7 linked regions of the Oryctolagus cuniculus genome follow. Each later gene encodes a partner of the first gene's protein in a complex. Links are inferred from orthologs where the notes say so. Each region holds a gene or a part of one and is shown in the gene's direction. Other genes may lie near its edges. The genes, in order: RBL2, MYBL1, LIN54, TFDP2, LIN52, OGT and TFDP1.

Region 1 (4,051 bases):
AGCTTCTTCTGGGTCTCCCACGTGGGTTCAGAGGCCCAAATACTTGGGCCATCTTCCAGTGAGCAGCCAGAACTTGACTGGCAGTTATATGGAATGCTGGCACTGCAGGTGGAGGCTTAACCTTCTACACCACAGAGCAAGCCCTACCCACTTAATTTAATTTTATTTTTTTTATTTTTGACAGAGTGGACAGTGAGAGAGAGAGAGACAGAGAGAAAGGTCTTCCTTTTGCCGTTGGTTCACCATCCAATGGCCGCCGCCACCGGCGCGCTGCAGCCAGCGCACCGCACTGATCCGAAGGCAGGAGCCAGGTACTTCTCCTGGTCTCCCATGGGGTGCAGGGCCCAAGCACTTGGGCCATCCTCCACTGCACTCCCTGGCTACAGCAGAGAGCTGCCCTGGAAGAAGGGCAACCGGGACAGAATCCGGCGCCCCGACTGGGACTAGAACCCAGTGTGCCAGCGCCGCAAGGCGGAGGATTAGCCTGTTGAGCCACAGCGCCAGCCTCCACTTGATTTTTAATACCATTCATTTGTCTCTGAAAGACAAGTGTGCTAGATTTTTTTTTTTTAAGATTTTTTTTATTTGAGAGGCAGAGATAGATAGGGAGGGATAGAGCGAGAGGTCTTCTATCCACTGGTTCACTCCCCAGATGGCTGCATCAGCTGGAGCTGGGCTGATCCAAAGCCAGGAGCTTCTTCTGGGTCTTCCATGTGGGGTGCAGAGGCCCAAGCAGTTGGGTCATTTTCCACAGCTTTCCCAGGCCATTAGCAGGGAGTTGGATTGGAAATGGAGCATCTGGGACTCAAACCAGTGTCCATATGGGATGCTGGCACTGCAGGCAGAGGCGTAACCTACTATACCACAGTGCCGGCCCCATGTGTGCTAGATATTTACATTTGACTTTGCATGATTTGACTTTCTGGTTGGGTACTGTCACTGCACTGCAGCCCCATAGGCAGTACTTGAAAGTAAAGCCAGACAGGCTGATGTAAATCCTAGATACACTATTTAATTGGCTGCATTCTTAACTTCCCGTGAGCAGGACAACTAGACTACATGGGGCTGTTGTGAGAATCAACTGATATATGTTAAGATCCATAATTTCCTGCCCCCTTCTGATTGTCTTTCTAAAGGTATATAGAAGTGTTTTGATAAAAGGGAAAAGAAAAAGAAGAAATTCTGGCAGCAGTGATAGCAGAAGCCATCAGAATTCCCCAACAGAACTGAACAGAGACAGAAGTAAGTGGGATCCTTATGAACTATTACCAAACAACATTAGGAGCTTTTCTTTTCTTTTTTCTTTCTTTCTTTTTTTTTTTTTTTTGGACAGGCAGAGTTAGAGAGAAAGAGAGAGAGGTCTTCTTTTTCCATTGGTTCACCCCCAAAATGGCCACCACGGCCAGCGCGCTGCACCGATCCGAAGCCAGGAGCCAGGTCCCCCCCACTCCCGGTCTCCCATGCGGGTACAGGGCCCAAGGACTTGGGCCATCCTCCACTGCCTTCCCGGGCCACAGCAGAGAGCTGGACTGAAAGAGGAGCAAGCAGGACCAGGACTAGAACCCTGGGTGCCAGCGCCGCAGGCGGAGGATTAGCCTAGTGAGCCGTGGCACTGGCCCATTAGGAACTTTTCTTTTTTTCTTTTTTGACAGGCAGAGTGGACAGTGAGAGAGACAGAGAGAAAGGTCTTCCTTTGCCATTGAATCACCCCTCAATGGCTGCCGCAGCCGCCGCAGCCGGCGCGCTGCGGCCGGCGCACCGCGCTGATCCGATGGCAGGAGCCAGGTGCTTCTCCTGGTCTCCCATGGGGTGCAGGGCCCAAGCACTTGGGCCATCCTCCACTGCACTCCCTGGCCACAGCAGAGAGCTGGCCTGGAAGAGGGCAACCGGGACAGAATCCGGCACCCCGACCGGGACTAGAACCCGGTGTGCCGGCGCCGCAAGGTGGAGGATTAGCCTAGTGAGCTGCGGAGCCGGCCCATGGAGCTTTTCTTATTTTTTAGGCCTAGAATACTAAGTCTCACTAAGTGTCTACTGAAGAAACATGGAAAGTGTTTTATTGGCCAAGGTTTTTTTTGGAGCAGTAAACCCAAATCCAAATTTAGTGGCAAAGTTGTCCTTCAGCCTGTATCTTTGAAGCATACTGTGCAGAATATTGCTTTTGAAGGTTTTCTGCAAGCCTCTGCTGGCCTAGTTCCAGGAGGGTTCACCGTGGTGGTTGGAGCCAGGCTAAGGGAATGGCATCCTTAGTTGCTGGTTTGCACCACTTGGTGCAGGGCTCAGATCCTAGACTGCTGGTGTAACTCATTAGTGGAAGCCGCTGAGTAAGCCCTTGCTGGAGTAATGGCTTGGGGGTAGATCAGTGATCACACTAGCTGAGCTCTGCTCCTTGGTATGAAGAATAGTGTGCCCACTTAAGGCCATTAAGACGTAGTGCAGGTAACTGCCTTTTTCCCGCTGCATTTTCTTAAGTCTTTACTCAGTGTCTTTGTGCTTCCCATGCTTTGTTGCTCTCACTGCAGCCAGTAGAGACTCGAGTCCTGTCATGAGGTCAAGCAGCACACTGCCTGTCCCACAGCCTAGCAGCGCTCCCCCTACACCTACCCGCCTCACCGGCGCCAACAGCGACATGGAAGAGGAGGAGAGGGGCGACCTCATCCAGTTCTACAACAACGTCTACATAAAGCAGATTAAAACATTTGCCATGAAATACTCACAGGCAAACGTGGTGAGTGTGACAAGGATCTTCGCATGCTTTATCACTTGTGAGGACTAAGGAATCCATTTGACCTGTTCTACATATAAACTAGTTGTACAAATACTTAATCTGCCTAACCTATATAATTTCTATTGCTGTTAACCATCAAACAAAAGTAAGGTTGTATCTGAATTCCCTCCCAAGTGCAGTAGAACAAGACAGCCTCCATGAGTTCAGACTGTTAATTTGTAACCACCATGGTGGTGACCTGGAAATTAACTTTCTGTGTTCTTCTTTTCTCCTCATATATACATCACTGTTTATCATTCATAAAACTAGTTTTTTTTTTATACTTCAACTCCATAAAATAACTATTTTCAATAGCAACATCTAGTTTAGAAATCTTTGTCTTACACTTAACGGATTTTTTTTTTAACAGATGGATGCTCCTCCACTGTCTCCCTACCCGTTTGTAAGAACAGGCTCTCCTCGCCGAATACAGTTGTCTCAAAATCATCCTGTATACATTTCCCCACATAAAAATGAAACGATGCTTTCTCCTCGAGAAAAGATTTTCTACTACTTCAGCAACAGCCCATCAAAGGTGAGCATAACTTCGGTCTTGTCCTTTATGAACCTAAGACCAGGCACTCACTGCAGTGATGCAAGTGCCAGGCAGCAGTGACCAGTTCAGTCCCAACAGAGCAAACACTGTGCCTCGCTGGCTTCTTTTTGAAAACTTTAGGGTTGGAAGTACAAGTGTATATTAACAAGTTAATGGAAAATGGAATCCCAAGAAGTGTATTTTAGTACCAAACATTTTTGAGTCCATGTATATAAGTCTTTAAAAAGTTCATGGAAAAAAGCATGCATGGATTTTACAGTTGTTTGCACCAAAATGTTTTTCTGAGAGGCAAAGAATGATACTGTCTAGCTTACACAGTCCCAAATGCCCACTAGGAACCAGGAACTCAACCTACATCCACCAGATGGGTAACAGATGCAGGGCATCCAGTGAACCATGACTTTGCAATAAAAAGATACACTTATAGAAAGTGTATATAAAGATGACTTTGTGGTAAAAAGAAACTGCTGATACACTCAGCAACATAGTTGAATCTCGGATGCATTCCTGCTTGAGGAAAGACACTAGATTCAATAGGCTACTTATTGAAATTCCAGAAATGGAAAAGGCACAACTCAGGAAACATCCATGGTTGCTTAGGGGTAGGGTGCCTGTAATAGGACATGAGGGAATTTTCTGGAGAAAAGAGTTTTAGTCTTATGGTTGACATAGGACTATTGGTACAACTTGTTGAAGAACAAAATACAATAGTATTGCTCATAAAAAAA
Region 2 (4,051 bases), on another chromosome or scaffold:
AATCTGTAAGTTTGAAATTGTGAGATTATTGAAAGCTCATTTTAGTTATGTATTTTTCTGTTCAGAAACTCAGCTTAAAGGATATTGATCAGTTTCATGTTAAGCATTAGTTTGTATGCCAGGCTTAATTTTGTTCTATTTTGCAGTGGTTCTTCATTAAAAAAAAAAAGGAAAAAGTTTAAATTTTTCTTAAGTGTGTGCCTTATATAGAATCTCTACAGATTAAAAAACTTAATTTTAATTATGAGCATATAAGTTGTATAAGTACATTAGAGAAAGTTGGAAACTAGAGAAAATTATGAAGATGAAACTTAAAATTCTCCATAGAGGTGGGCAGTTGGTCTAGATGTTAAGATTCCAGTTAAGATGCCATGTCCCACATTGGAGAACCTCAGTTTGATGCCTGATTCTATCTTCCTACTAACACAGATCTTTGGAGGCAGTGGTGACAGCCCAGTTGATTGGGTTCTTGCTACCTACATAGGAGACCTGAGTTGCATTCCTGACTCCTGGCTTTAGCCCCTGACCAGAGCTGGGCCACTGTGGGTATTTGGAGAGTGGATCAATGGATGGGAGCCATCTTTGCTTTCAAATAAATAAGAAATAGGAAAAAAAATCCTTTATTCCCAGAGTTAATAATTTAATATATTCCTTTCACTCTGTGTTCTATGCACAAAACACACACACACACACACACACACATAAACACGCACACTTATGTGTGTATATATGTATATAGATAGATAAAAGTATGTAGATTTTAATCCGCAGATATATACCTATGTATTATGATTGCAGGCTTTTTTTGGTTTTCATTTATATCATGAGTACGTCTCCGTGTTCCTGTTTTTTAAACTTGAATTTTAATGGCTTTATAGCATTCAATCGTAAGAATGCAAGAAAATTTACCCAGTATACTCTTCTTGGACATTTAGTTATCTAGTTTTATGTTATTACAAATAACAGAATGTATCTATATAAAGCTTTGTACAAAATCATGAATTTCTGGATCAAAGTATATCACCATTTTTTTAAAAAAATATTTTATTTATTTGAAAGGCAGAGTGACAGAGAGAAAAGGAAAGAAAAAGAGATCTTCTAACCACTGGTTTACTCCCTAAATGGCTGCAATACCTGGGACTGAGGCAGGCTGAAGCTGGGAGCCTGGGAACTCCATCTTTTTTTTTTTTTTTTGACAGGCAGAGTGGACAGTCAGAGAGAGAGACAGAGAGAAAGGTCTTCCTTTTTGCCGTTGGTTCACCCTCCAATGACCTCTGCGGCCGGTGCACTGTGGCCGGTGCACCGCGCTGATCCGAAGCCAGGAGCCAGGTGCTTCTCCTGGTCTCCCATGGGGTGCAGGGCCCAAGTACTTGGGCCATCCTCCACTGCACTCCTGGGCCACAGCAGAGAGCTGGCCTGGAAGAGGGGCAACCGGGACAGAATCCGGCGCCCTGACCAGGAGTAGAACCCGGTGTGCTGGCTCCGCAGATGGAGGATTAGCCTATTGAGCTGTGGTGCTGGCCGGGAACTCCATCTTGATCTCCTCTGTGGGTAGCAGGAGTCCAAGTAGCTGGGCCATCTTCTGCTGCCTTCCCAGGCACATTATCAGGGAGATGGATTGGAAGCAGAGCAACTAGGACTCAAACTGGTACTCTGATGCAGCATGCTGGCATTAACAAGTGACAGATTAACCATTTGCCACAGCATCAGCTCCTGTATCACCATTTTTAAAATGGTTCTATACATATTACCAAATGACTCTACAGAATTTGATAGTTTTCCTGATAGGAAGTCAAATGTGATTTTTATGATAAATGAAACTTGAAAAATTTATTTATTCTTGTTTATTTGAAAGGCAGAGCAAGAGAAAGAAAGATCTTCCATTTGTTGGTTTACTGTCCAAATGCCTGCAACAGCTAGGAGCCTAGAACTTCATCAGAGTCTCCCACATGGGTGGTAGGGACCCAAGCTTTTGAGCCACAACATGTTGCCTCCCTGGGAGTACATTAGCAGGAAGTTGGAATCTGAAGCAGCCAGGACTCAAACCTAGGCACTCCAATATAGGGTGTGGGCATCTTAACCACTGAGTCAAATGTCCACCCTGATGGATTGTGCTCTTTGATAATGACTTAAAATAATTTGTTCTCCTATATAAAATACTTTGATAGTAAGCTTCATCTGCTGAATTAAATGAAATATTCTGGGATATCCCAAATTGAAAGGAAAACCATAATCTGGACCAGTGGTGTGACACAGCTGGTTAAGCTGCTGCCTGAAATACTGGCATCCCATATCGGAGCGCTAGCTTGAGTCCCGACTCTTCTACTTTCTGTCCAGCTTCCTGCTTGGAAAGGCAATGGAGGATGGCCCAAGTGCTTGGGCCTTTCCTGGCTCCTGGCTTCAGTCCTGACTGTTGCAGTCATTTGGGGAGTGAACTAGCAAATGGGAGATCACTCTCTCTCTCTCTTTCAAATAAAAAGATAAATAATAAATCTTTTAACAAAGAAAAATAATCTGTTTCACTCAAATAATCCAAATGATCTTGCTTTAAAAAGGATGTCTCAGGAAAGTCTGTTTGTAAAAATGAGTAACTGTTCAGATAATTTGGAAGGTGAACCAATGGATGGGAAATGTCTGTCTGTCTCTCTGTCTCTCTTGCTGTTGCTCTGCCTTTCAAGATTTGACTTAAATAGGTTAAAGTATTAACTTCAGTTCAGAATTTAATTGTATTGCAGGATCCTGTAGCATGGAGTGATGTTACCAGTTTTGATCTTTCTGATGCTGCTGCTTCTCCTGTCAAGTCTACTCCAGTTAAACTAATGCGAATCCAACACAATGAAGGAGCCATGGAATGTCAATTTAATGTCAGTCTTGTACTTGAAGGGAAAAAAAACAGTTGTAATGGTGGAGACAATGAGGCTGTTCCTTTGACATCCCCAAATGTGGCCAAGTTTAGTACTCCACCCACCATCCTCAGAAAGAAGAGAAGAATGCGAGTGGGTCAGTCCCCAGGCAGTGAACTTGGTGATGGCTCATTCAATGATGGTGGTAATACAGCACTAAAACACACACCAGTGAAAACACTACCATTTTCTCCTTCACAGGTAGTACTTTTGTTTTTATATATATATTTCCAAATGTTGATGAGCTGGATTAAATTAGATCTTTAGTATCCTTTCTGGCAGTTGGTTGTTTTCCTAACACCTAACAATGGATAATATGTTTAAATGTATACATGGGAGTGTATACATGAGGTATCTCCCAAAGCGTGAGTGCACTGTAAGTTTTAGAGCTCAGATGAAAGTTTTCTTTATCATGTAATCTCACATTTTAATGACTCATCAGAAAACAGACCCAAAAAGGTAAAAATGATTTGCCCAAAGTTATCTAATGAGCTGAGATTGAGGACCGTTTCCTGACTGTCTTTTTAACAGATATTAAAGAAGACCTTATATATTTAGAGTAATTTAGCCTTTAGTTTACCTATTGATTTTTCCAGCTTAATGTTCCTTGAAAGAAACCTGGTTTTCCAGCCATATGCAGAAATACCTATTTTCTCCTCTTGTAATATCCTTGGGCAGCAGATGTTTATGTTAGAATGGTTTCTTATTGAACAGTTGCCATGCTCCAGGCTAAAATTCTGAAGTTGAGCATCTTGGCCAAGGTCACAGTAAGAGATGGAGCAGTGTTTGCTAAAAGTGTTTTGACAGTTTAGAAACCTCTATAGGGGAAGAAAGGAGTTTGGTGATCAAATAGGCATGAGGATACTGGAATATTATGGGAGTTATGTTTTGAGCCTGGAAGATGAGTAGGGTATGGCAAGATACCACCACTTTGATCTCTGAAAATTATGTCCCTTCCCTACCCGCTTCAGGGGACGCTATTTACATATTACTTGTGAATAGTGCATCCATTCCTTTTCCCAGCCTTCATAGTCAAAAAGCGTTCTGGAGAGGGTGAAACAGGGTTGGGCACACTTAGCAGTATTTTGTACTGGAATAACATGTAGGTAACTTTCGTTGAAGTATAAATTCTGTGGTAGAATGTAACT
Region 3 (4,051 bases), on another chromosome or scaffold:
AAAGTAGCAGAGCTGGGGGTTGAGCCCTATAGATCTTAGGACTTTAAAGCCTCTTTTTTTTTTTTTTTTTTTTTTTTAAGATTTATTTCATTTATTTGAAAGGTAGAGTAAGAGAGAAAGAGATCTTCCATCCTCTGATTCACTCCCCCAAATGGCTGCAATGGCTGAGGCTGGGCCAGGCCAAAGCCAGGAGCCAGGATCTCCAGCTGGGTCTCCAATGTGGGTACATGGGCCTAAATACTTGGGCCATTTTGTGCTGCCTTCCCAGGCGCGTTAGCAGGGAGCTAGGTTGGAAGTGGAACAGCTGGAACTTGAACTGGTGCCTGTTTGGGATGCTGGCACTGCAGGTGGAAGCTTAAGCTTCAGCACCACAGTGCGGGCCCCCGAAAGAGTCCCTCTTACAGTGGATAGACTGCAGCGACCTCGGGAGGATCGATTTTGAACCACTATCCTGATTAGAGATTGCTCATAGTAGGAAACAAGTGGAATTCTTTAGCTCCTTCATGAAGATAACACAAGAAAGCTAAGTATTTATAACTGTTTTGAGTATTATTTCTATAAATAAATTGTTCATTTTTTTTTCCTTTTTAAAAAAAAGCAAAGCCAGTGGTTGTTAATACTACCCCAGTGCGGATGTCAGTTCCAATTGTTCCAGCTCAGACTGTCAAACAAGTGAGTATCATGCGACTTTTCTTCTCAGTCTCTTCCAAACAATTTACTGTTCACATTGAAAGTTAGGAGTTAGGTGCAAGAGACTTCTACTGAACTAAGCAGCTGTAAAAATACGGTATTATTATTGATGTTTCCCTTATTTTTAGGTCGTCCCCAAGCCAATCAATCCAAGTTCACAAATAGTGACTACTAGCCAGCCCCAGCAGCGGTTAATCATGCCTGCCACACCACTGCCACAGATCCAACCCAACCTCACCAACCTGCCACCAGGCACTGTGCTGGCACCAGCTCCAGGGACAGGGAACGTGGGCTATGCAGTGCTTCCAGCTCAGTACGTTACTCAGGTATGCGGGAAAAATGAAGCCACTGTGTGTCAGCAAGGAGAACTGAGTCTCAGATGTCTAGCACTATCACGTTCTAAAGCTTAACTCGGTATTAAAATGCTGTTTTCAAAATCTGAAAATGTCAGCCAAAACTTCTGGGTTTATTTCTGTGTGTCTTCTGCACTTAGAAATATATGATACAAGTCAGATACAGGAGTAAGATAGTTGGGACCTAAGAACAGCTTGATGAGGGTAATAGTATAGATAGGAGAAAAAATAACACTGAAATTATTTCAGCAGAGCCCAAATGAATTTTTAAGAATGACTATCGTAAAGACACAAATACGATGGCTCTGACATTGCCTGGAAGATAAGCCGTGAGACGCATTTGTGGGTGACTTGCTTTCTGATCTGACCCTTTCATCTGGTTGTCTTTAGGAGGAAAGTCAGGTACTAGCTGGCTGGCTTGGGATGGGGGTGCTGCTTCCATGAAGCACATGGAAGTCTCATGCGTGCAGGCAAATTAGCACCGTCATCTAAAGCATTGAATTGATCGACCCAGATTATAAGAGAAACGAGCTGGTGTTGTGGTGCAGTGAGTTAAATTGCCACCTATGACACTGGCATCCCATATGGACACTGGTTCATATACTAGTTGCTCTGCTTCTGATCCAGCTCTCTGCTAAGCTGCCTGGAAAAGCAGCAGAAGATGGCCCAAGTGCTTGGGCCCCTGCACTTAACATAGGAGACGTGGAAGAAGCTCATGGCTTTGGTCAGCCCAGCCTGAGCCGTTGCAGCCATTTGGGGAGTGAACCAGTGGATGGAGGCTATCTTTTTGTCTGTCTCTTTCTGTCTCTCTTTCCCCCTCTCTCTGTAACTCTGCCTTTCAAATAAACAAATATTTTAAAAACAAATGAGAGAGCCAGCGCCACGGCTCCATAGACTAATCCTCCACCCAGCGGCGCCGGCACCCCAGGTTCTAGTCCCGGTTGGGGCGCCGGATTCTGTCCCAGTTGCCCCTCTTCCAGGCCAGCTCTCTGCTGTGACCAGGGAGTGCAGTGGAGGATGGCCCAAGTGCTTGGGCCCTGCACCCCATGGGAGACCAGGAGAAGCACCTGGCTCCTGCCTTCGGATCAGCGCGGTGTGCCGGCCGCAGCGCGCTAGCTGTGGCAGCCATTGGAGGGTGAACCAACGGCAAAAGGAAGACCTTTCTCTCTCTCTCTCTCACTATCCACTCTGCCTGTCAAAAAAAAAAAAAAAAAAGAGAGAGAGAGAGAGAAACAGAAACTTAACGTGTATACTGAAATGCACTTTGGAGAAATGTGGCTACTGATGAATAATGATTCCATATTTTTATCATTGACATTTCTAAAGTTTAGAAATCAGTAGAAAATATTATGCATTCTCTATGATTTGAAATGTAGGGGGGAGCAGCGCTGTGGTGTAGCAGGTTAAACTGCCGCCTGCCATGCTGGCACCCCATACGGGCACAGGTTTGAGTCCCGGCTGCTCCATTTCCGATCCAGCTCACTGCTATGGCCTGGGAAAGCAGTAGAGGATGGCCCAAGTCTTTGGGCCTCTGCACCTGTGTGAGAGACGTGAAAGAAGCTCCTGGCTCCTGGCTTCAGATCGACGCAGCTCTTGCTGTTGCAGCCATCTGGGGAGTGACAGCAGATGGATGACCTCTCTCTATCTCTCTCTCTCTCTGCCTCTGCTTCTCTGTGTAACTCTGACTTTCAAATAAATAAATAAATAAATCTTTAAAAAAAAAAAATGTAAGGGGACAATCAGTGTAGTATCTATTTTATTTGCAAATAGGCACATTGCATTGGTCTAGCCAATACAAGCATTGCAATACTTTGAGGGCTTTCATCAAGAGTTTCTGACATACTTCTCTAGGAAATAATTTCTTGTATTTGTACCACATAGTACTGTCAAATACTCACATTATTTTCACCTCTAGAATTGGTGAGGGTCTTTAAGAGAACTCCACAGGCAAGTGTTTGTATGAAATTCTCCATTATGCTTTTCCTATGTTAGTAGCTGAATTTGGGCTTCTTCCTGGTGATTATATGTGAGAGGATAGTCTGTTTTTGCAAATATGGTCTAAAGTCACCTTCCTTTACCTGTAGCTCCAGCAGTCTTCCTATGTGTCTATAGCAAGCAACTCGAACTTCACTGGCACATCTGGTGTGCAGACCCAGGCAAGGCTCCCGTTCAATGGGTGAGTATTTTGAAAATATCTAAGTGAAGTTGTTGAATTGGCTTAAATGTATACTTAAATAATCACCCAGCTCTAGTGCCCTGTGGCAGATTCATCAGCTGTACCACATTTTTATTGTTCATTCTGAGTAGCGTTTTACCATGAGGATGCTGTTTGTAAATCGTTATGTTGGGTCCTTGGGTTTTTGTTGCTGTTGTTTGTTAATCTGCTAATTGCTGCCTTAGCAATACCAGTTTGGATGCAGTGCTTAGTTAATTACATGGCACCAGGCCGTACCCCCACCTCCAGTTTCTCTGTGTACCTCTTTACCTTAACTACTTCTTATCTTTGAACCCTGAGAGTTTTAAGGAAGCTTGAACTTTTTTCTCAGAAGGAAGAGTGTTATGCCCAGTTCAGTTGTCCCCAAAGACCACCAAGGAGCCGATACCGCTGTAAAGCACACGAGAGCTTTATTGCAGGTCCGGGCCTGGGCTCTCAGTCAACACCAACGCAGGGGGTCTGAATTGAGAGCCCCGACCCTTCAGTGAACAGGGTGTTGTGGTTTGTTTTTTTGTTTTTTTGTTTTTTTGTTTTTTTTACAGAGTGGACAGTGAGAGAGAGAGACAGAGAAAGGTCTTCCTTTCTGCCGTTGGTTCACCCTCCAATGGCCGCCGCGGCTGGCGCACTGCGCTGATCCGACAGCAGGAGCCAGGTGCTTCTCCTGGTCTCCCATGGGGTGCAGGGCCCAAGTACTTGGGCCATCCTCCACTGCACTCCCTGGCCACAGCAGAGAGCTGGCCTGGAAGAGGGGAAACCGGGACAGAATCCGGCGCCCCGACCAGGACTAGAACCC
Region 4 (4,487 bases), on another chromosome or scaffold:
GCGCCTCAACAGCACCCACCTCTCTCCACATTAACCGAGGCACTTTCTGGGTCTGCTTCCATGAAGGTGTTTCGCACACCATATTGGGGTGGTTTATGAGCTGTGCCCCTGCTACACTGAGTTCCTTGAACTGAGTGGGAGTGTCCGCAGGCTTGCTCATTGTATCTCTAGTGGTAAAAGGTTTTTTTTTTGTTTGTTTGTTTTTAATTGAGTTGAATACATCTACTAGATTTTTTGTGAAAACTAAAGAATTCCTTCTGGATTTGTGGCTGAAAATGTAATCACTCCTCTGGGGATCTGCATGTCACAGTCAATCAGCAACAGGCAGCATCCGGCATTCTTGGACTCCGAGGACTTCACCTCCCTACTGTGATGTGGCAGGCCAGTGTCTCGACACCGCACCCAGATCCAAAGGTGATCTCCTGTCTCCCTCAAGTCCTTTATGTGTTTACTTAAACGCGTCCTTAGGATCTCCTTCCCTGTCCACCATGCTTAAGGCTGAAGCCATCCCTCCCACACACACTCTGCTTACTGTTTTTCCACAGCTCAGATCAGCAGGTAGCATCGTTTTTATTTTGCTTATTTCTTTAGCTGTCGTCTTTCCCACCGCACTAGAATGCGGGCTCCACGAACGCAGTTTTTGTCTCTTTTTGTTCACAGAGGTATCTCCAGCACCTGGAACAGTGTTCCGCACGTGGGCGATTTATAAAATTTGAGCAGAGCGAAATGAGAAAGGCCTATCGTTGCAACACTGTGCCCTCACACCTCACTCCATCAGCAGGGCAGCTCCCATCTCTCTCTCCTCTCTCAACCTCCACAGCTCGGTCCACGCGGAATTTTCCAAATCAGCAGAAAACGAACAGACACAATCTTGTAACGCTAACCTACCGACCCTACAGGAACAGGTGTCTGGGGAAGCGGGCAGCCCCGGGGCAAGGCGGCCTGGCTTTGTGTGGATCCTAACTCGCCTGGCTAGGGAAGAACCTCCAACTCCCCAGGAGTCTCTCACTCATCGAATACTTTCAAGGCGCTCCACGGCTGGCCCCAAGCACTGCCTCACCGCTTACTCCCGCGACTCCTCAAATGCGAAGGATCCAGATGCACCTGCCCCACTTCTCCCGCCTCTCAAACAGCTGCGATCTTCCTGCTTCGTGGGCGGACCTCGTGGGGGAGTTAGGGGCGAGAGGGAAGGGCGTGTTTCTAAACTTTAGGCTTCAGGCCTACAGCTTGTCCAGCAATCGGAGCTGGAACCAAGAGCCCGGGCCACCGCCACCTACCCTTTGGGCAGCCCGGGAGAAACTTCAGGGGTCGGAGCGCGGCGCTTAAAGGCTCCGCCTCTTCTTCTCGTGCCCCCTCCCATCATTGGGCAGCCTGGGGGCGGGGTTTGTTTACTCTTTGCACGCACCGCCGGGACCGGCCAATCCGTGGGGAGCGGCGCCCTACGTCACGCCTCTCACCGGCCAATGGCCGTGCATCGTGCTGCTCCGCCGCCAAAGCTCGCGCGGGGGAAGCGGGGAGGCCGCCGAGCCGAGTGCGGGCTGACGAAGTCGGCAGCGCTTTCGGCTGCTGTGCGGCCGCTGTCCGGCACGCGGGGCGCGCCCTGACCGAGCCCTGAGGGCGCGCGCGGGCGCGAGGTCGGCGTGCCGGGGCCTCGAACTCCTGGGGGCCTCGACCGGGGCAAGGCCGCGGCTGCCTGGGTGGGAGTCCGCCGGGACCCGGGCGCCAGAGGATCGGCGGCGCCCGAAGACGCGCCCCCGGCTCGGCCCTGCAGCCTCGCGCGGCCGCCGGGTCCTCTGCAGCCGAGCGGCGGTAAGGTCCGGGGCGAGGGCGCGGGCCCGCGTGCCGAGGGCCTCTGGACCCGGCCCGGCGCGCTGCGTACGCCGGGGGACCCCCGGGAATCCCACGGGCTCCTCAGGCCTGGCGGAGTAACCCTTGAGTGTCCGGGCGAGACTGGGCAGGCAGGGAGGTCACCCTTCCTCGCGCAGCCTGCAAACTGGGGGAGGTGAGGTCCCTGAGTCACGCCTCGGCGAGGCGGGCAGAGGGTGTCTTCCCCCTTCCCGTCCTGGCCGTAGGGAGCGATGGCTTCGGGTTCTGGCTGCTGACTTTGCCCCCTGCTTCGCGACCCCCCGTCTGCCTCCGCCAGGGTTTCGTTGTTGTTTTTAAGAGTTGGGAGGCTTTGTGTGTACCTGTGCCCCGTAAGGGAACTTTGGCATTGCTCTGTGGGCCCAGACGGCTGGAGAAATCCCGGAGAGCCGAGGTGCCCGTCCGCCGGGCAGCGGCAGGGTTTGGGTGGGACCGCGCCGAGACGCCGCGCGCTCGCGTTGTGAGGTCTCCGTCTGCTCGAGCTGGGGGACCTCGGCGTGGGCGCCGCCGCCGAGGGAAGTCTGGGGCCGCCTGGGTCAGGGACGCCCGGGGCGCGAGCTCGCCGCCCGGCAGCGCAGGGCACGAGGTGGGCACCCTCGCTTCTGACTGCCGCGAGCGCGGGTTCGCGAGAGGATCCTTTTCTCTGCCCCTTGCCCACTCACCGCCGAAGCTCCGCCGAAGCCCGGAACGCTCTCCTCTTCCGTTTCCCTCGCAGACGGCTCAGACGCCCTCTGCCACCTGCTTGCTTGCTTCAGTGGGTGCGTGGCTCCTTCTCCCCCATCTCCCCTCTCCCCCCATCTTCCCTCTTCCGCCTTCTCCCCTCTCCCCCAGATCTTAGTTTCATGACTTTTCCTTTGATTTCTATTACCTAATTTTTTCTGGGTCACTTGTTTTTCTTTTCTCTTAATGGTTTCATCTTAGTCATTTTGCCTAATAAATATAATTGGAATTATTCACCTGTTCTCTAAAAGGACATAATCATGACCCTACCTGTCTCTGTTCAGAATCAGAGTAGTTGAATCTGTGTTGCATCTTGCTGTTCCATGTCGTTGGCTGGCCTATGGTTTAGCGAAAGCTTTATCGCTATCACATTACTATAATTAATCTTTAATGACAGTGTCCACTCTCAAATAGCACCAGGAGAAAAATCAAATACCCAGACCCCAGATTCTATCGCACTTGGGCACTGGCACTGGCTGTGTTTGTTGTGTGGTAGAACATCTTGTGCCTGGAACTGGTCTGGTCTAATGGCAGCCATCATGGCTGGGAGCACTGCCCTGGCATACAGTTGCAGCAGTGTGGTACTTGTACAGAAAGGCCCAAGACTTACTCAACTCTTATTTTCGAGTTCTCTTTGTTTCTAGTTGTTTGTTTAAGAAGGAAAGCTGAATTTCGCTAGTGTGTGGCATGACCATTTTGTGATCATGCAGTTGTACCCCCCCACCACCACAGACCCCTTCTTTGGAATGTGTAGCACAGTGAAGTATTCGCACTGTGGCCAAAATGCTTATCTGGGCTCTGTGCTTTTAGTGTGACTTGAAATGGAGTTTATACCCCCTGTAAGCCATCATCACTTAAATGCTTATTGTAACATGTATCATAGTAAATCTCAGAGGAATCTAGAAAACATAAGTTGAGAGTTCTTTGAGATCAGAATTTTAAGTTGTAATAGATTTTAAAGATTATTAAATTGTTAATATATCAATTCATACTTGAGTCTTTTCCATTTTAATCTGGGATCCGTAACACTCTAGTATATTTAGAAGTAGATTTGTGAACCCTTAGAAACTTTTTTTTTTTAAAGATTTATTTATTTATTTGAAAGACAGAGAGAGAGGTCTTCCATTCACTGGTTCACTCCCCAATTGGCCGCAACAGCCGGAGCTGCATTGATCCAAAGCCAGGAACCGGGAGTTTCTTCTGGGTCTCCTGTGTAGGTGCAGGGGCCCAAGGATTTGGGTCATCTTCTACTGCTTTCCCAGGCCGTAGTGGAGAGCTGGATCAGAAGTGGAGCAGCCAGGACTCGAACTGGCGTCCATATGGGATGCTGGCACTGCAGGCAGCAGTTTTACCCGCTACGCCACAGCACTGCCCCCCCCCCAGAAATTTTCTGCAAAATTACGTACATTTGCATGTTTTTATGAAGACATGTTCATAATTTCTGAGGCAAAGGTATTTGGACAACTTGTTTTTTTTTTTAAAGATGTATTTATTTGTTTAAAAGGCAGAGTGCAGAGAGAGAGGGGAGAGATCTTCCATCTGTTGGTTCACTCCCCAGATGGCTGCAATGGCCAGGGTGGAGCCAACTCAAAGGGGGGAGCCAGGAGGCTCATCCAGGTCTCTCATATGGGTGGCAGGGCACCAAGCACTTGAGCCATCTTCAGCTGCTTTGCTAGGTACATTAGCGGGGAGCTGGATCAGAAGTGGAGCAGCCAGGACTCAAACTGGTGCCTCATATGGGATGCCAGCGTCACAGGTGCTGGCTCCAACAACTCTTAAGTTTTATAAAATAGTGGGGCCAGCACCGTGGCTCACTTGGTTAATCCTCCGCCTGCGGTGCTGGCATCCCATATGGGCGCAGGGTTCTACTCCTGGTTGCTCCTCTTCCAGTCCAGCTCTCTGCT
Region 5 (4,843 bases), on another chromosome or scaffold:
CTCACCTTTATAGATCCCTTTGATAGTCCTCTAAATATTCATGGCTGCCAAATCTAGACTACTCTGTATCAAAGTTTCATGATAGAGCAACTCCTAGTCGGCTAAGGAGCATTATTTTTTTCTTTTTCCAGGTCAGTTGAGAAGCTCAGAAAATTGTACCTGTTTCTGAAATGAAGTACATGGGAGACAGATTCTCCTCTCTGATGCAAAGCACAAAATACCTTCAATGGGAGTGAGGCGGAGGCAAAGGGAAAAGCCAATTTTAGTCAAAGATTTGAAGGAGAGGCTGGTAATGGACAAAACAGGGTGGAAACTGTTTTCTTGCTACTAAAAAGAAAAAAGCTGCTAGAGCAGAACTGGAATCAAGGCAAGAAATAAGAGTGAAGCCAGCCCACCCGGCGAACCCCTCCATCTTCCACACTGTTCCATTAAACAGTGTATTTATAAATATGAACCTTTGCTGATTCTGCCAAGAATCTTAAAACTGCTTCTGTTTTTGCGGAAGAACTCAGGGAAACACGGTACATAATAATAATAACCTAAAAGCCCAGCAACACAGAGAAGTTCCCCGTTTGAACATAAGGAATAAGAAAAGCAGGTTTGGGAATCCTGCCTACTGTAAATATTGCCTCACTGTGCAATTGCTTGCCAGGCTAGGAACAGAGGGGAAAGCTACTCAGGGTTGGAGACTTGGAGACGACAGGCCTGGCTGGAGACAGGACCCAGTCTCCCAGGGGCAGATCGGAGGGTGTGCCGGCACACGGAGAGCTGACGTTAGGGGGGAAGCTTGGAGCTTCTCGCCTTTCTTAGCTTCATTCTCTGTCGCCTGTTTTAGAGATGTTTAGTCCCCTGAAGGGACTGGAACAATGCGCTAGCAGAACTTCGTGCCCTTATTTACTTGCAACATGAAAACTGTAAATTTATTGAGACAAAGTTTAACAGAGTTAAACTTTGGCAAGAACGCCTCCGGGTTGTGGGAAATGCAGAGCCAGAGTTGGGGAAAACAGCTTAGCAAGTGTCTGCCTGTGGTGAAAACCTGGTGCACACTCCCAGAGCGAGATTCAAAGTTCACTCGCTGACCCTCGCCCCTCGAGAACCCCCTCCCTCCCTTACCTCGGTTCACGGGTGGGGAAAGGGAGCCATTTGGACGCTCCTGGCGGGCGAAAGAGCTCTAAGAGAGGGGAGTTTATGCGAGAAAACGAAGTGGCTGGTGCAGAAGTGACAGGGAAAGGCAGTGGGCGGGCCGAGAGGTGACAGCAAGAGTGGCAGCAGGGACCGGGTAGGGCTGAGGACGGTGGGCGAGAGCCAACAAGCAGGAAGCCCCGGAGTAAACGGGTGAAAGTCCCGGGAGGCATCCAGACTAGGGGAGGTACGGGGTGGGGGTGGGGGAAGGAGGAAACTAGGCCGCTGGGCTGGGAGGGGAACACCAGGGTCGGCCAAGAAGGGGGCTGGGCCAAGAAGTCGGTCCCGCCCGAGGATGGCTCAGAGTGGACGGAAAGCATCCAAGTCCCAGCTTCGTGGTCCCTCGGTGCCACCCTCACTCGCCTGCAGGATCCGGGCCCGCACTGCCGCCGCCACCACCACCGCCGCCATGGTTCTCGGCCGCCTCTTCTACGCTCCCCCAGCCTCCACCGCCCGCGCTAGCCAGAAACACTACAGCTGCCAGGCCTCCCCCTCCATCCTGCCCGACCTTCTCATTCGTGGAGAGGAGCATTTCCTCTGGCCAATCACTCTCTAAAACACCTGACTCCACCCCCGCAGGCCTGCTCCTGCGGATATGTGATTGGTCAAAAGCGAAAGCGCTCTCGCCCCCTCCCACCTCAGAGAATTCTATTGGCGGAGGTAGGGAAGACGCCCCTACCTGGGTACTCTGTATTGGACACGGAGGGGAGACGCCCCCTAACCTGGAGTTCTGATTGGCTACAGCCACGACCAGGGTTCCACCCCCTACCGAGGAAAGTAAATAAGACCCTCCAAGAATTTTGCAGTCGCTCCGCCTCCGCAACAGCACGAGGGGCAGGGCTGTCGCTAGGGGCGGGGCTAGGCAAGGACTGTCCTATGGGGAGGAGAAACGAGACTGGGCTGCGAGTTGGCGATAGGGTTTCGCTTTGGGGGCGTGGCTTAGGGGTCCTCGCTTTCCCGCCGACGGTTGGCCACGTCACGTGACATGGGTTGGAAGATGGCGTCTCCCACAGACGGTAAGAGCCGGCTTAGAGACCCTTGGCCTGCAACCTCCTCCTTTGCTCCCATTGAGAACTTCCACTCTCCATCTGCCCCTCGAACGTACACTTCTTTCTCGGGAACCTCTCCTTTCCCTTTTCCTTGGTTTCACCTCGCCGGTTCTTCACATCCGCTGAGAGGCGCCGGGTTTCCCCGCTGTGTACCCTGCAGGTGGAGGAGAGCACCCACGTAGGGCAGAAGGACAGTGGTCTCATTGGCCCTCCTTTTTCCCTATTTGGCTGAAGTTGAGGGACGAGGAGGAGATACTGCTGAGAGAAAGGAGGTGCCTTGTTATATATAGTTTTCTGCTCCTCCGGGTGCACCGCTGATGTATCATCTCTGCTCGCACTGAGCACTGATCGAACTATCCTCAAGTCCTAGCTGGGTTGGTGGCCGACCCCGTCCGGGGACTGAATTGCAAGAGAAGCGGGGACCTTTTCGTCCCCTCGCCGCGAGGGTCCCCAGGAAATGACAGTTGAGCTCTGCTTTAGAGTAGTTTCGCGTACATCTCAGTCTCTGCAGGGGCCGCTGTGTGTGCGGGTTCCCCTGCCTGGATGTTGTCTAGGACGCGAGGTTTTGGTGTATCAGCGCGCTGTTGTGCTCCGATCTGCCCTAGAGAGCTAGGGTCTTGCGGGCTGCCCTTCCATCACCCCATCCCCAGGTCAGGTTCATTGATGTGCAATTTCCCCTCCTCGACCACAGAGTGTTTTTGGAAGAAATCTTGGGGAGGGCGTTTTTTTTTTTTTGCAGAGGTTTCATATTCTATATTGACACCATTGAAGAAAAATGAAACAATAACGAGACATAAGATTGGCAAAAATCAAAAAGACTAATGAGACCGGTTTTGTTACAGGTTGTCAGACGACCACATGAAAGTGTAAAGCAGTACTTCCTTTTTACCGAGTGACATGGAGATTGCTATCTAGATTACAGGGTTGTCTGAGTTTGAATTTCAATACCCTAATTATGGATTCTTAAATTTCTTCCCTGGAAGACAATTTGGCCTCAGGCCGATTAGCAATCTAAAGGAGGGGGTAGGAAAAAGCACCTAAGATCTCTTCCGCTGTCTCCTGGCTACCCTGGTCAACACCAGAGCAAGGTGCTGAATGGCTCACTGCAGAGATGATGGGACCTTGCGGGAGTTGTGTGGGGGTGGTCTACAAAATGGCTGCATCTTGGAACAGCTTGGTCAGAGCATGCCATTAGGGGAGGATTGGAAGACTGGATTATTGCGTCAGTTGATGGCCCCAGTGCCAGGAGAGGAGAGAGGTATACCAGCCTTCCCATGTGTGCCTCATTTTTACTCCAAATCTGACACCGATCATCCTGTCAAAATATTATGGGCTTACTCAACATATATGAAAGGCGTTAATACCAGGTGCTTCCGAAAATGTAAAAACGAATCAAACATGTAAACTTTTTTTCTCCCAGTTCCAGGTTTCTTTTAGATGTTGTTCCCCAAAGAGGCTTTTCCAGAACACAGTGTTGGAGTTGCCCCTCTCCCCTGTTTAAATATCTCAGTATCTTCACTGATGGCATTGTTATTCTGTTAGTTTTTCCTCTTTCACAGTAGATTATAAATTCCAAGTCTGTCTTGTTCACAGCTGAATCCTGGGATTCAGCAGCACAGTGCCTGATTTAGCATCTTAAGGCTCAATTAACATTTATTGAATCAAAGAATATATAGAGAGAGGAAATAATGTTTTGCTTGACCTTAAGTTTAACTGAGTTGTAACTTTTTGAGCATAGGTACATACTGTGTAAGAAATTGTGAATAATAGGGCCGGCGCCACGGCTCACTAGGCTAATCCTCCGCCTTGCAGCGCCGGCACACCGGGTTCTAGTCCCAGTAGGGGCCCCGGATTCTGTCCCGGTTGCCCCTCTTCCAGGCTAGCTCTCTGCTGTGGCCCGGGAGTGCAGTGGAGGATGGCCCAAGTGCTTGGGCCTTGCACCCCATGGGAGACCAGGATAAGTACCTGGCTCCTGCCTTTGGATCAGTGCGGTGCGCAGGCCGTGGCGGCCATTGGAGGGTGATCCAACGGCAAAGGAAGACCTTACTCTGTCTCTCTCTCTCTCACTGTCCACTCTGCCTGTTAAAAAAATAAATTAATTAATTAATTAAAAAAAAAAGAAATTGTGAATATTTAGAATCAGACAAGATTCTGCTAAATCCTCTGGCCAGAAAAAGAAGCGGGGAGGAGTTATTTTAAAAGTCAGCCAAAGGAGTCTGGTGCCGTGGCTCAATAGGCTAATCCTCTGCCTGCGGCGCCAGCACACCGGGTTCTAGTCCCGGTCGGGGTGCCAGATTCTGTCCCAGTTGCCCCTCTTCCAGGCCAGCTCTCTGCTGTGGCCCGGGAGTGCAGTGGAGGATGGCTCAAGTACTTGGGCCCTGCACCCCACGGGAGACCAGGAGAAGCACCTGGCTCCTGCCTTCAGATCAGTGCAGTGCGCCGGCCGCAGCGGCCATTGGAGGGTGAACCAACGGCAAAGAAAAATCTTTGTCTCTCTCACTGTCCACTCTGCCTGTCAGAAAAAAAAGAGTCAGCCAAAGGAATGGGGAGTTTTTATTTCATGGGTGCAGAGCTTTAACTTGAGAAGGGGAAAGGGCTCTGGTGGACAGTGA
Region 6 (4,829 bases), on another chromosome or scaffold:
AAGGATCTTGTCTTGTTTATTTTTGTGTCCCCCTACAGTGCCTTGCACACAGAGACTAAGTGTGCGTGTTACTTGATTGACTGAAGAAAATCTGCCTGCCTAATGAAGAAGTCCTTCAAACTCAACCATACTATCCAGGTGCTATTCCTGGAAGGTATGGAGCCAGGGTTCTTGAGACTCCAGTAAGGGGTTTTTCTGTACTGAGCCTCTGTGAGCCCTACTGTGCAGCTTTTCATAGAAACAAATTTGAGGACAAGGAACCCTGTCCATAATAGCCTACTTGACCGGCACCATGACCTGGCATTTAACGAGAAGAGTTTTACCTAATTAACTAGCACCCACTAATCAGTAAGGCCTAAACAGCTGCCAGTGGAATCTGAAGAAGTGTGTTCTAAAAGCGGAAAAGCTGAGTTTATTCACTACAAATGGGGCACTTGTAGTGGGGAGGGAGGTTACCAGTTACATGAAAGGACACAAAGAGGTCAGTTCGCAATTTCCAGAAGAGTTTGTGTAGTGAACATTGTCTTTTTTTTAACTGCATGACATCTCTTAATTAATTATAGAAGAAATTAACATATATTATGAATTGTCTCTGTGCTCTTGGCTGTGATTAAGTTTGTTGACTGCTCAGAAGAAATTGAAGCAGAATCTGAGGACTTGTTAGTTTTTAAATGTAGACAAGGGGTTGGGTCGCAGAAACTTTTTGAAGACATTCATTAACATGTTTTCTTAGATCAAGGACTTGTTGAAATACAAAGGCTCTCAGAGCTCCAACTTATAACCTCTAGTGGCTTGTGATAATTTCTTGTTTATGTAGCAAGCTACCCGAAATCCTTTCTGGAAGAAGAGATGAATTATAAATTAATACCAATGTGACAAACTGAACGGTGGACTTGATTTGTTCAAGGAAGTGGAAGCAATTCCTGACTCTAGACGTGTGGTTTTTGCAGATGGTAAGTGAATACATTTATTGCTGTTCTGCTCAATACAATCGCCTTGTGACAATTTGCAGAGCTAATTGGTGGACATTAAGTCACAACTTGGAGGAGAGTCATGGATTTGGACGAAAATGAATCATCTTTAACATTTTTATGGCTGCTTTTGGAGTGCAAACTCATCGTGTCCCTGAGTTATTAAGCATTTGTCCGATTACCATGGGTAGAACTCTCCTGAATAGGAAAACGATTTTGAAATTTCGGGCTATGTAGCTAAAAGCAGAGGATGTCTGGGTTCATTTGGCCCTCTAAAAGTATGCCTTTCTCATCAAAGTGCTTAAACCTAGGGCTGGAGTCAGAACTAAGGCGTGTTCCAATTGGAACCCTTGTCTCCCACCGTTTTTAAAGAACAGCTTGTCTTTGAAATACAGTCATTTAAATGTATTTGCTCAGAACTGGCCCATCAGCCTTGTAAATATTTTTTTTTGACTTGGATAAAGTTGCTTAAACTTTTGTGGACACCTTTGGCATTGCTGTTAAAATGTACTTCACTAGCTAGGTAACCAAGTGATACTACTTTGGCAAATATGTAACCAGTGAGTACATGGATATTTTTCACTCTTCCGCCTTACTCTCAAAAAGCACTTGAACAGTCCTGCCCCAGCGAGGGCTCTAACAGGGAGCCCGCTTGACAGGGTTGCTCGCATGCGCTGTCGGCACAATTCTGTTTGTCGCAATGGGCCTTGCGCGGAAGCTTACAGGAGGGCAAGTGACTTTGATTGTAGTCATTGGGTCTGTAGCTCTGGTTACGCGCTGCCTCCGCCGGGTACTTGATTGTAACAGAAAGTAGTTCCGGCCCGTGTTGTTTCGGCCGAGGAGCCTTCGCCGCCATTTCAAGACCGTGAGAGGTAGACGGCCAACCAGAGTTCCTAAGGTTCCAAGTCCGTAACTGCCGCCACCACTTAAGCCTTCCAAAATTCTGGTACGGCTGCTGCCCTCTTACTACTACCTCCAGAACCATTCTTGCCCGTAGTGGCGGCAGTGAGAGTCAGTTACCCCCTTTTTGCTCTCGCTCAAGAAGCTCCAGATGGCGTCTTCCGTGGGCAACGTGGCCGACAGCACAGGTACCGGTGTCCCGTTCTACCTTGTCAGACTCCCTTTTGGGGTCTCGCGCCGTCTTCTCCTCTCATCACTCCCTCCCTCCCTTCTAACCATCCCCATTGCATCAGTAGCAGCGCTGAGCTTTTCGTGGTCTGCTGACATCTCGAATTTTGTGCTGTCGTCTGCTCAAGTATTTCCTCTTTAGTGCTTGTTTGCTTTTTTTCTTGGTTTGTTTGTTGCCCTCCTTTAAATGTCCTAGCCCTTCACTCTCTCGGGATACTTCTCCTGCACGTGCGCGCTTAGAATGCCTTGGAATGGACTGCATTGGAATCCCTGCCCTTCCACTTTCCTTTGCAACCGGTTTCCCCCCCAGATTCCAGCCCGTAGCCCTCTCCTTTTTCCTCTCCACCTCCTCCTACAGCCCTTTGCACCTAGCCAGATTTCGTTCTTCTTTGCCGGTATAGGGCGGGGGTGCTATTCCGTTGTAACCGTATTCCCTCTTTGCATCACCCAAGGACTAGCAAAAGCTCGTCACTGTTATAAGTAACCTCCAGACGAGACACATTGGGCAGCTCCCCGCTGGGCAGCGCCTTTCCGGCTTTCTTTCGGTCGAGCGGTCCCAGTTTCGATTGGAAATTTCCAGGGATTCCCTTTGCCAGGGCCCAATTCCACCCGCTGCCCCCAGCCTGTATTTTCCCACCCTGTGATCCCTCTCCGCCCGCGAGGAACCACACCCTTTGCTTCGCGAGGTTTGCCAGCCCTTCGGGCCACTTCCTACCCCCGGGGGAGAAACCACCCCAATAGTGTTGCTTTGGCGCTGACCACCCTGCCCGCCCAATTCTCGCTTTGTGTTACTTTCACGATGTATTCTTCCGCCACCGCCGCCGCCGCCTCTGGGTCTTCCATTCCCATTCTTTAGCTCGGTATCTCTTTATTCATAGGGTGTATATATATATATATGTTTTTTTTTAAGTTTCCATCCCTGCTTGAAGAGTTTGTAAAGCAACTGGAGTGTAGCTGTACAATATACAAGGCTGTTGCCCTTTGAGACAATTCAGTTGCGAGCATTTGGTGCTAAAAATAAGAGAACAACCAAATTCTAGGAGTGTCCTTCGGCTGCCTTTCCATATTGAGGCTATTTGGGGCGTGCGGGGGTGGGGAATTGGACTGCGCTTCTAAGGTTTCCCACGAGGTTATTTCTTTTGGTTTTTCCTAGTTGAGATGGATCAAGGGTTTTAGTTCCTGTTTTGGACATTGTGTAGGAAGTAATAGGTGAATCTGTAATAGTATCTTAGTGGGAGTAATTAGTCTGAGCTCTCCGCGCTCCCCCATCGTGATTTTCTGAGATTTTAGATTCTGTTCCAGCTTGCCCTTTTCTATAAGTGTTAATTTTATTTGAGGAAGTTGGGTCAAGTGTTAAAATAGATGAGCGGCTCAAAAAGTGATCAACGTAACGTGTTAAAAATAAGGAGCTAGGAAATTCTAGGGACTTGTCTAAAATGTAATTTTCTAATTTCTAGTAGAGCTATACCACCCTCCCTCCCCCAATTTGGATGCAAGACTGTCTTGTTTGTGGTCAGATGTGCCTTCTGACAGGAAATTTACTTTGCTTTCCCGGTCTCCAGAACTCTCCTCAGCCTTAATGATTGGGGGAGCCAGGCTCAAATTTGATCATGTCACTGTGACCTTGGTAGAATTAAGTAATTTGTCCATGGTTTCGAATTCCACTCCTCTATCGAAAGTGTTGTGGTGAACGCCCAGTCCTGTATCACTGTTGTTTAAAGTATTTATTATTGAGCCTTAGGCAGTTTTTTTCCCATCTCTGGGCTTTAACTATATATACCCTCTATGTATCTGAATGAAGTCACAGCAAAGTGCTTTTGTTTGTTACTCATTCTGTTGTGCCTTATCAACTTTTATATTTGAGTGTCCCCCCCCCACCTTTTTTTAAACCATTGCAGTTGTAGGTAACTGCTTGGTTTACATAGGGTTGTTTGTAATAAAATCTTATAGTCAGTGCCAGAGCTTCTTGGAAAATGTTAGTGCTAAACTAGCATGGGTGGGATTTACCTAATTTAGTCTCCTTGTGAATTTGGAATGATAGAGGAGCAGTATAATCTTGGAGCTTTATTTAAAATGTTTGATGATCCCTTTAAATATTTTGGCTCTTGACAAATGAATACATCTTGTTTATCAGCTGTTTTAAAAATAGCACCTTGACTTTTAGTTTTTTTTTTTTCCCAATCTTAGGCTTGTTTCTGGTGTTGCTATTTTAAAACATTAAATTGTGAAAGATAGAAGCATATCAATATAATTTAAAGAGTAAGAAACATCTGGCGTTCCCACCTAGGTTAAGAGATAGTTACCAGGGCCGGCGCCGTGGCTCAATAGGCTAATCCTCCACCTTGCGGCGCCGGCACACCGGGTTCTAGTCCCGGTCGGGGCGCCGGATTCTGTCCCGGTTGCCCCTCTTCCAGGCCAGCTCTCTGCTATGGCCAGGGAGTGCAGTGGAGGATGGCCCAGGTGCTTGGGCCCTGCACCCCATGGGAGACCAGGAAAAGCACCTGGATCCTGGCTCCTGCCATCGGATCAGCGCGGTGCGCCGGCTGCAGCGGCGGCCATTGGAGGGTGAACCAACGGCAAAGGAAGACCTTTCTCTCTCTGTCTCTCTCTCTCACTGTCCACTCTGCCTGTCAAAAAAAAAAAAAAAAAAAAAAAAAAAAAAAAAAAAAAAGAGATAGTTACCAATACTCCGTCTCACAGAAATCCAACCTAAAACTTTGGACAAAGTAT
Region 7 (3,559 bases), on another chromosome or scaffold:
GTGAGGAGCTTCTGCAGTGAATGTCCACAGAGCAAACCATGGTTTCACTGACCTGCGTGGCTCATGCTTTGCAGTATCGCTTTGTGTTAACCGTTAACGTTTTTAAAACTGAGAGGTGGGGAGGAGGAGGCGCAGGCTGCTTCCACTCCCAGGTTGACTCCCCAGGCACCTACAGTGCGTGGGGCTGGGCTGGGCTGGGCTGAAGCTGGGCACCGTGCGCTCAGTCTGCGTCTTCCATGGCCACCTTCTTTCTGCCCCCCAGGTGCACACTGGCAGGAAGCTGCAATCAGGAGTGGGAGCTGGGACTCCGCCCGTCACTGTCTGGGGCGTGAAGGGCCTGGCCAGCCGGGGCTTAACCACCAGACCTAATGCTGCCCTGCCTGTGTGGAGTCTTTCGCTTGTGTTTTACAGTTATTTATTTATTTATTTGAAAGGGTGACAGAGGAGTCTCCCATCCACTGGTTCACTCCCCAAATGCCAGGCCAGAGCCAGGAGCCAGGAATCTCCATCCAGGTCTCCAGTGTGGGTGGCAGGAGCCCAAGCACTTGAGGTGTCAGCTGCTGCCCCCCAGGTGTATCAGAGGGAGCAGGATCAGAAGCAGAGGCGGGACTCAGTCAGCCCCAGGCACTCCGCTATGCGGACTGGACGTGGCTGGGGAGGACTCAGTCAGCCCCAGGCACTCTGCTATGCGGTTTGGACGTGGTGCGGGAGGGCTCAGTCAGCCCCAGGCACTCTGCTATGCGGACTGGATGTGGTGCGGGAGGGCTCAGTCAGCCCCAGGCACCCCACTATGCAGTCTGCACGTGGCCGGGGAGGACTCAGTCAGCCCCAGGCACTCCACTATATCCGCTATGTGGACTGGACATGGCGCGGGAGGACTCAGCCCCAGGCACTCCGCTATGCGGACAGGGAGGACTCAGTCAGCCCCAGGCACTCTGCTATGCGGACTGGACGTGGCCAGGGAGGACTCAGTCAGCCCCAGGCACCCCGCTATGCGGTCTGGACGTGGCCAGGGAGGACTCAGTCAGCCCCAGGCACCCCGCTATGTGGTCTGCACGTGGCCGGGGAGGACTCAGTCAGCCCCAGGCACTCCGCTATGCGGTCTGGACGTGGTGGGGGAGCGGGGCAGCTTAACTGCTTTGTCCTGACTTCGACCCTTGGAGAAACGTCTTCAGTCGGTCACATTGGCAGCTCTGGGCTGTGGCAGGTTTTGGGGGTGCTACCCCTGTTGCCAGGTGGTGGTCTTGCCCCTCACCCGGGCATCCTGACCTGCCGTGGCTGCCGTCTTTGAGCCTGTGCATGTGTGGCTTCTCTCTCACCTGGGGCCTGACCTGAGCCATGCACAGCCGCTTCAGGAGGACGGGGCTGGTGGGGGCCCGGGGGCTGCAGGGCTGGGTTCCATGTTGTGGGACTCGATCTCCCCTTGAGGCTGAGGCCAGGCTGGGTGGAGGCCGTGCCTGACGCTCGTCTGCCTCCTGTCCCTGCAGCGACTTGACCAACGGTGCCGACGGCATGCTGGCCACGAGCTCCAACGGGTCTCAGTACAGCGGCTCCAGGGTGGAGACGCCCGTGTCCTACGTTGGGGAGGACGACGAGGACGACGACGACTTCAACGACAATGACGAGGAGGACTGACGTCCCGGCCCCTTCCCCGCAGATCCGGCTTCAGGAGCCGGCGAGGGAAGAGACTTTTTTTAAGCGTGGGGTTTTCTGTTTCTTTCTGGCCTTCCCCCAAGAAGATGCTGGTGAGCTGCGAGAGGGCCCCGCAGGCCCCAGGCCGCCGCCAGGGCACTGCTCGCTTTGCAGGCGTCTGCTTTCCGTTTCTAGCTCTTTTTAAAGTTCAGAGTCCGTTTTTGCCCCTTCACAGCTCTCGCTGAGTTTGCTGAAGATATCTTACTTCATCCACATCAATGAAAATAAGACGCTCTCCTGCCGTGGCCGCGGGCGCCGGCGGCGTGTGGCGCCCTGCGTCGGGCTGGCGGGGGGCGGATGCAGGATGCGTTTTCCTCTTGTGAATCATGCGATGTCCAAAGACGGAAGCGAACACTCAGCGCCATGCGTCCTGCCGTGACTGTGTGCTCCGTAAATTATACTGACTGGTGTGACTCCATCAAGCTGACGTCTCTCTCTCTCTCTCTCTCTATTGCAGCAACAAATTGCAAAGTCCTCTTTCTTTTTGTTTGTCGTTTTGGTCTGCTGGGCAACGTTTACTGCCCGCTGGGGCGGCTGCGGAAACTCTGGAAGGTTTGTTGCTTATGGTAAAATTTGCCTGATTTCTTACAGGCTGCGTTTGGAAACTTTTTATTAAATAGTTGTTTACATACCTATGAGTCTGTCATTTAAAGACACGTACCGAAACAAATGTGGGATTTGTTTCCTGAGCATCTTCCGTAATCTATTATAAAGTTGAAATTAAACATAGAGAATGTTTTAACAGTTTTTTAACTCAAAATTTGTCAATCATTTTTAATAGTTCTTTTTTTATAAAGAGAAAAGGAAATTAAGGACAGGCAGTAGTGTCTTTTAAGATTTATTCACAGAAACATTAACTGCTCAGTTGCTGTCAGCTGCCTGTTCTGAAACGATAGTCTTTTTATTGAAACACAAATAGACTTTTCTGTAATATTTTATGGAATATAAAGAGACTTTAATTGTTTGACTTGTTTAACTCGGCACTGTTAGTTTTTATTAATAAAACGCGCATGGGCATTTTCAACGAGCTCTGTGTGCTCCATCTCACTTTCCCGGCCAGGGCCCCTCCCCCCACCCTGCGGCTCACAGCACGTGCGCTCCCTGGCCTCTTCCTCAGCCCTAAAGGTCGAGACGAATTCCACAGGTTTCCCCTTCAGAAAGGAATGACAGCATGGAAGGTTCTGGAAAGGAGTCGGAGCAGGAAGCACCAGGTGGTGGGGCGCGGCTCCGCCTCCTCGCTGCTCTGGGGCTCTGGAGAGGCCGCGACTTCAGGGCCGTCACTTCTGGTTCAGCTTTGGCTCCTCGCTCAGCGGCAGCCCCCGCCCAGCCCTGGCAGGCAGCTGCCTGCTGTGCTGGCACAGCCCGCACATGGGTACATGGGTGCACACGGGTGCACACAGTGTGGAGCCAGGGCAGGCCTGTGCTCTGGTCAGTAGCGAGGAGACAAGCCCTGCCACTGTGTCTGAAGCCCCCGCCCCTGCACTTACCCCCTCTGGAGACCAAGACACTCAGCTGTGCATGCAGGGAAATCCAGAGGGTGGCCTGCACCTCCGTGCGGCCTCAGCACAGTCACAGCCAGCTGAGATCCTGGAGCTGACCAGATGGAGACAGGCAGCCCGGTGCCTGGGCCTGAGCAACCTGGGGGGAGGGGAGGAGAACTGAGTAGAGGGAGGGGCACAGCACGCCCCAGGGAGAGAGCAGCACTGGAAGAGGGGAGACATGGATGCCAGCCCCCAGCAAGCAGAGGAGCTCCCAGGAGGGCTAGCTCAGGGACTCCCACCCCTCGGGACCTCCAAGCCTGTGGAAGACACTGCGTCTTGAAATGACAGAAGAGCGGCTTCCATAGGAGTCCCCGGGGAGGTGCGGA

The links.
Region 2: RBL2 (region 1) and MYBL1 share a complex: the UniProt entries of both Homo sapiens proteins name them as parts of the DREAM complex. The link is inferred for Oryctolagus cuniculus from reciprocal best matches to the Homo sapiens genes RBL2 and MYBL1.
Region 3: RBL2 (region 1) and LIN54 share a complex: the UniProt entries of both Homo sapiens proteins name them as parts of the DREAM complex. The link is inferred for Oryctolagus cuniculus from reciprocal best matches to the Homo sapiens genes RBL2 and LIN54.
Region 4: RBL2 (region 1) and TFDP2 share a complex: the UniProt entries of both Homo sapiens proteins name them as parts of the DREAM complex. The link is inferred for Oryctolagus cuniculus from reciprocal best matches to the Homo sapiens genes RBL2 and TFDP2.
Region 5: RBL2 (region 1) and LIN52 share a complex: the UniProt entries of both Homo sapiens proteins name them as parts of the DREAM complex. The link is inferred for Oryctolagus cuniculus from reciprocal best matches to the Homo sapiens genes RBL2 and LIN52.
Region 6: the proteins of RBL2 (region 1) and OGT are in contact, whole or in part, in a crystal structure (PDB 4XI9), measured with the Homo sapiens proteins. The link is inferred for Oryctolagus cuniculus from reciprocal best matches to the Homo sapiens genes RBL2 and OGT. Residues at the interface, in NP_001310537.1 of Homo sapiens: Thr417, Pro418, Val419, Ser420, Thr421, Ala422; in NP_858058.1 of Homo sapiens: His506, His508, His509, Asn567, His568, Pro569, Tyr642, Thr643, Lys644, Gln849, Phe878, Val905, Ala906.
Region 7: RBL2 (region 1) and TFDP1 share a complex: the UniProt entries of both Homo sapiens proteins name them as parts of the DREAM complex. The link is inferred for Oryctolagus cuniculus from reciprocal best matches to the Homo sapiens genes RBL2 and TFDP1.

What each region holds. Positions count from the first base shown.
Region 1 is NC_091449.1:36,933,705-36,937,755, forward strand, and holds part of RBL2 (retinoblastoma-like protein 2), read left to right. Parts: intron 1-1,136; coding exon 1,137-1,242; intron 1,243-2,522; coding exon 2,523-2,728; intron 2,729-3,137; coding exon 3,138-3,302; intron 3,303-4,051. UniProt on the Homo sapiens protein: Key regulator of entry into cell division. Directly involved in heterochromatin formation by maintaining overall chromatin structure and, in particular, that of constitutive heterochromatin by stabilizing histone methylation.
Region 2 is NC_091437.1:92,240,677-92,244,727, reverse strand, and holds part of MYBL1 (myb-related protein A), read left to right. Parts: coding exon 1-5; intron 6-2,735; coding exon 2,736-3,104; intron 3,105-4,051. UniProt on the Homo sapiens protein: Transcription factor that specifically recognizes the sequence 5'-YAAC[GT]G-3'.
Region 3 is NC_091439.1:82,901,698-82,905,748, forward strand, and holds part of LIN54 (protein lin-54 homolog), read left to right. Parts: intron 1-598; coding exon 599-672; intron 673-818; coding exon 819-1,016; intron 1,017-3,127; coding exon 3,128-3,219; intron 3,220-4,051. UniProt on the Homo sapiens protein: Component of the DREAM complex, a multiprotein complex that can both act as a transcription activator or repressor depending on the context. In G0 phase, the complex binds to more than 800 promoters and is required for repression of E2F target genes.
Region 4 is NC_091435.1:139,716,017-139,720,503, forward strand, and holds the start of TFDP2 (transcription factor Dp-2), read left to right. Parts: upstream 1-1,499; 5' UTR 1,500-1,809; intron 1,810-4,487. UniProt on the Homo sapiens protein: Can stimulate E2F-dependent transcription.
Region 5 is NC_091451.1:20,252,703-20,257,545, forward strand, and holds the start of LIN52 (protein lin-52 homolog), read left to right. Parts: upstream 1-1,959; 5' UTR 1,960-2,167; coding exon 2,168-2,198; intron 2,199-4,843. Other genes in the region: ALDH6A1 (methylmalonate-semialdehyde/malonate-semialdehyde dehydrogenase [acylating], mitochondrial), read right to left, coding at 1,546-1,593.
Region 6 is NC_091453.1:51,331,562-51,336,390, forward strand, and holds the start of OGT (UDP-N-acetylglucosamine--peptide N-acetylglucosaminyltransferase 110 kDa subunit), read left to right. Parts: upstream 1-1,718; 5' UTR 1,719-2,022; coding exon 2,023-2,059; intron 2,060-4,829. UniProt on the Homo sapiens protein: Catalyzes the transfer of a single N-acetylglucosamine from UDP-GlcNAc to a serine or threonine residue in cytoplasmic and nuclear proteins resulting in their modification with a beta-linked N-acetylglucosamine (O-GlcNAc).
Region 7 is NC_091440.1:466,111-469,669, reverse strand, and holds the end of TFDP1 (transcription factor Dp-1), read left to right. Parts: intron 1-1,487; coding exon 1,488-1,635; 3' UTR 1,636-2,719; downstream 2,720-3,559. UniProt on the Homo sapiens protein: Can stimulate E2F-dependent transcription.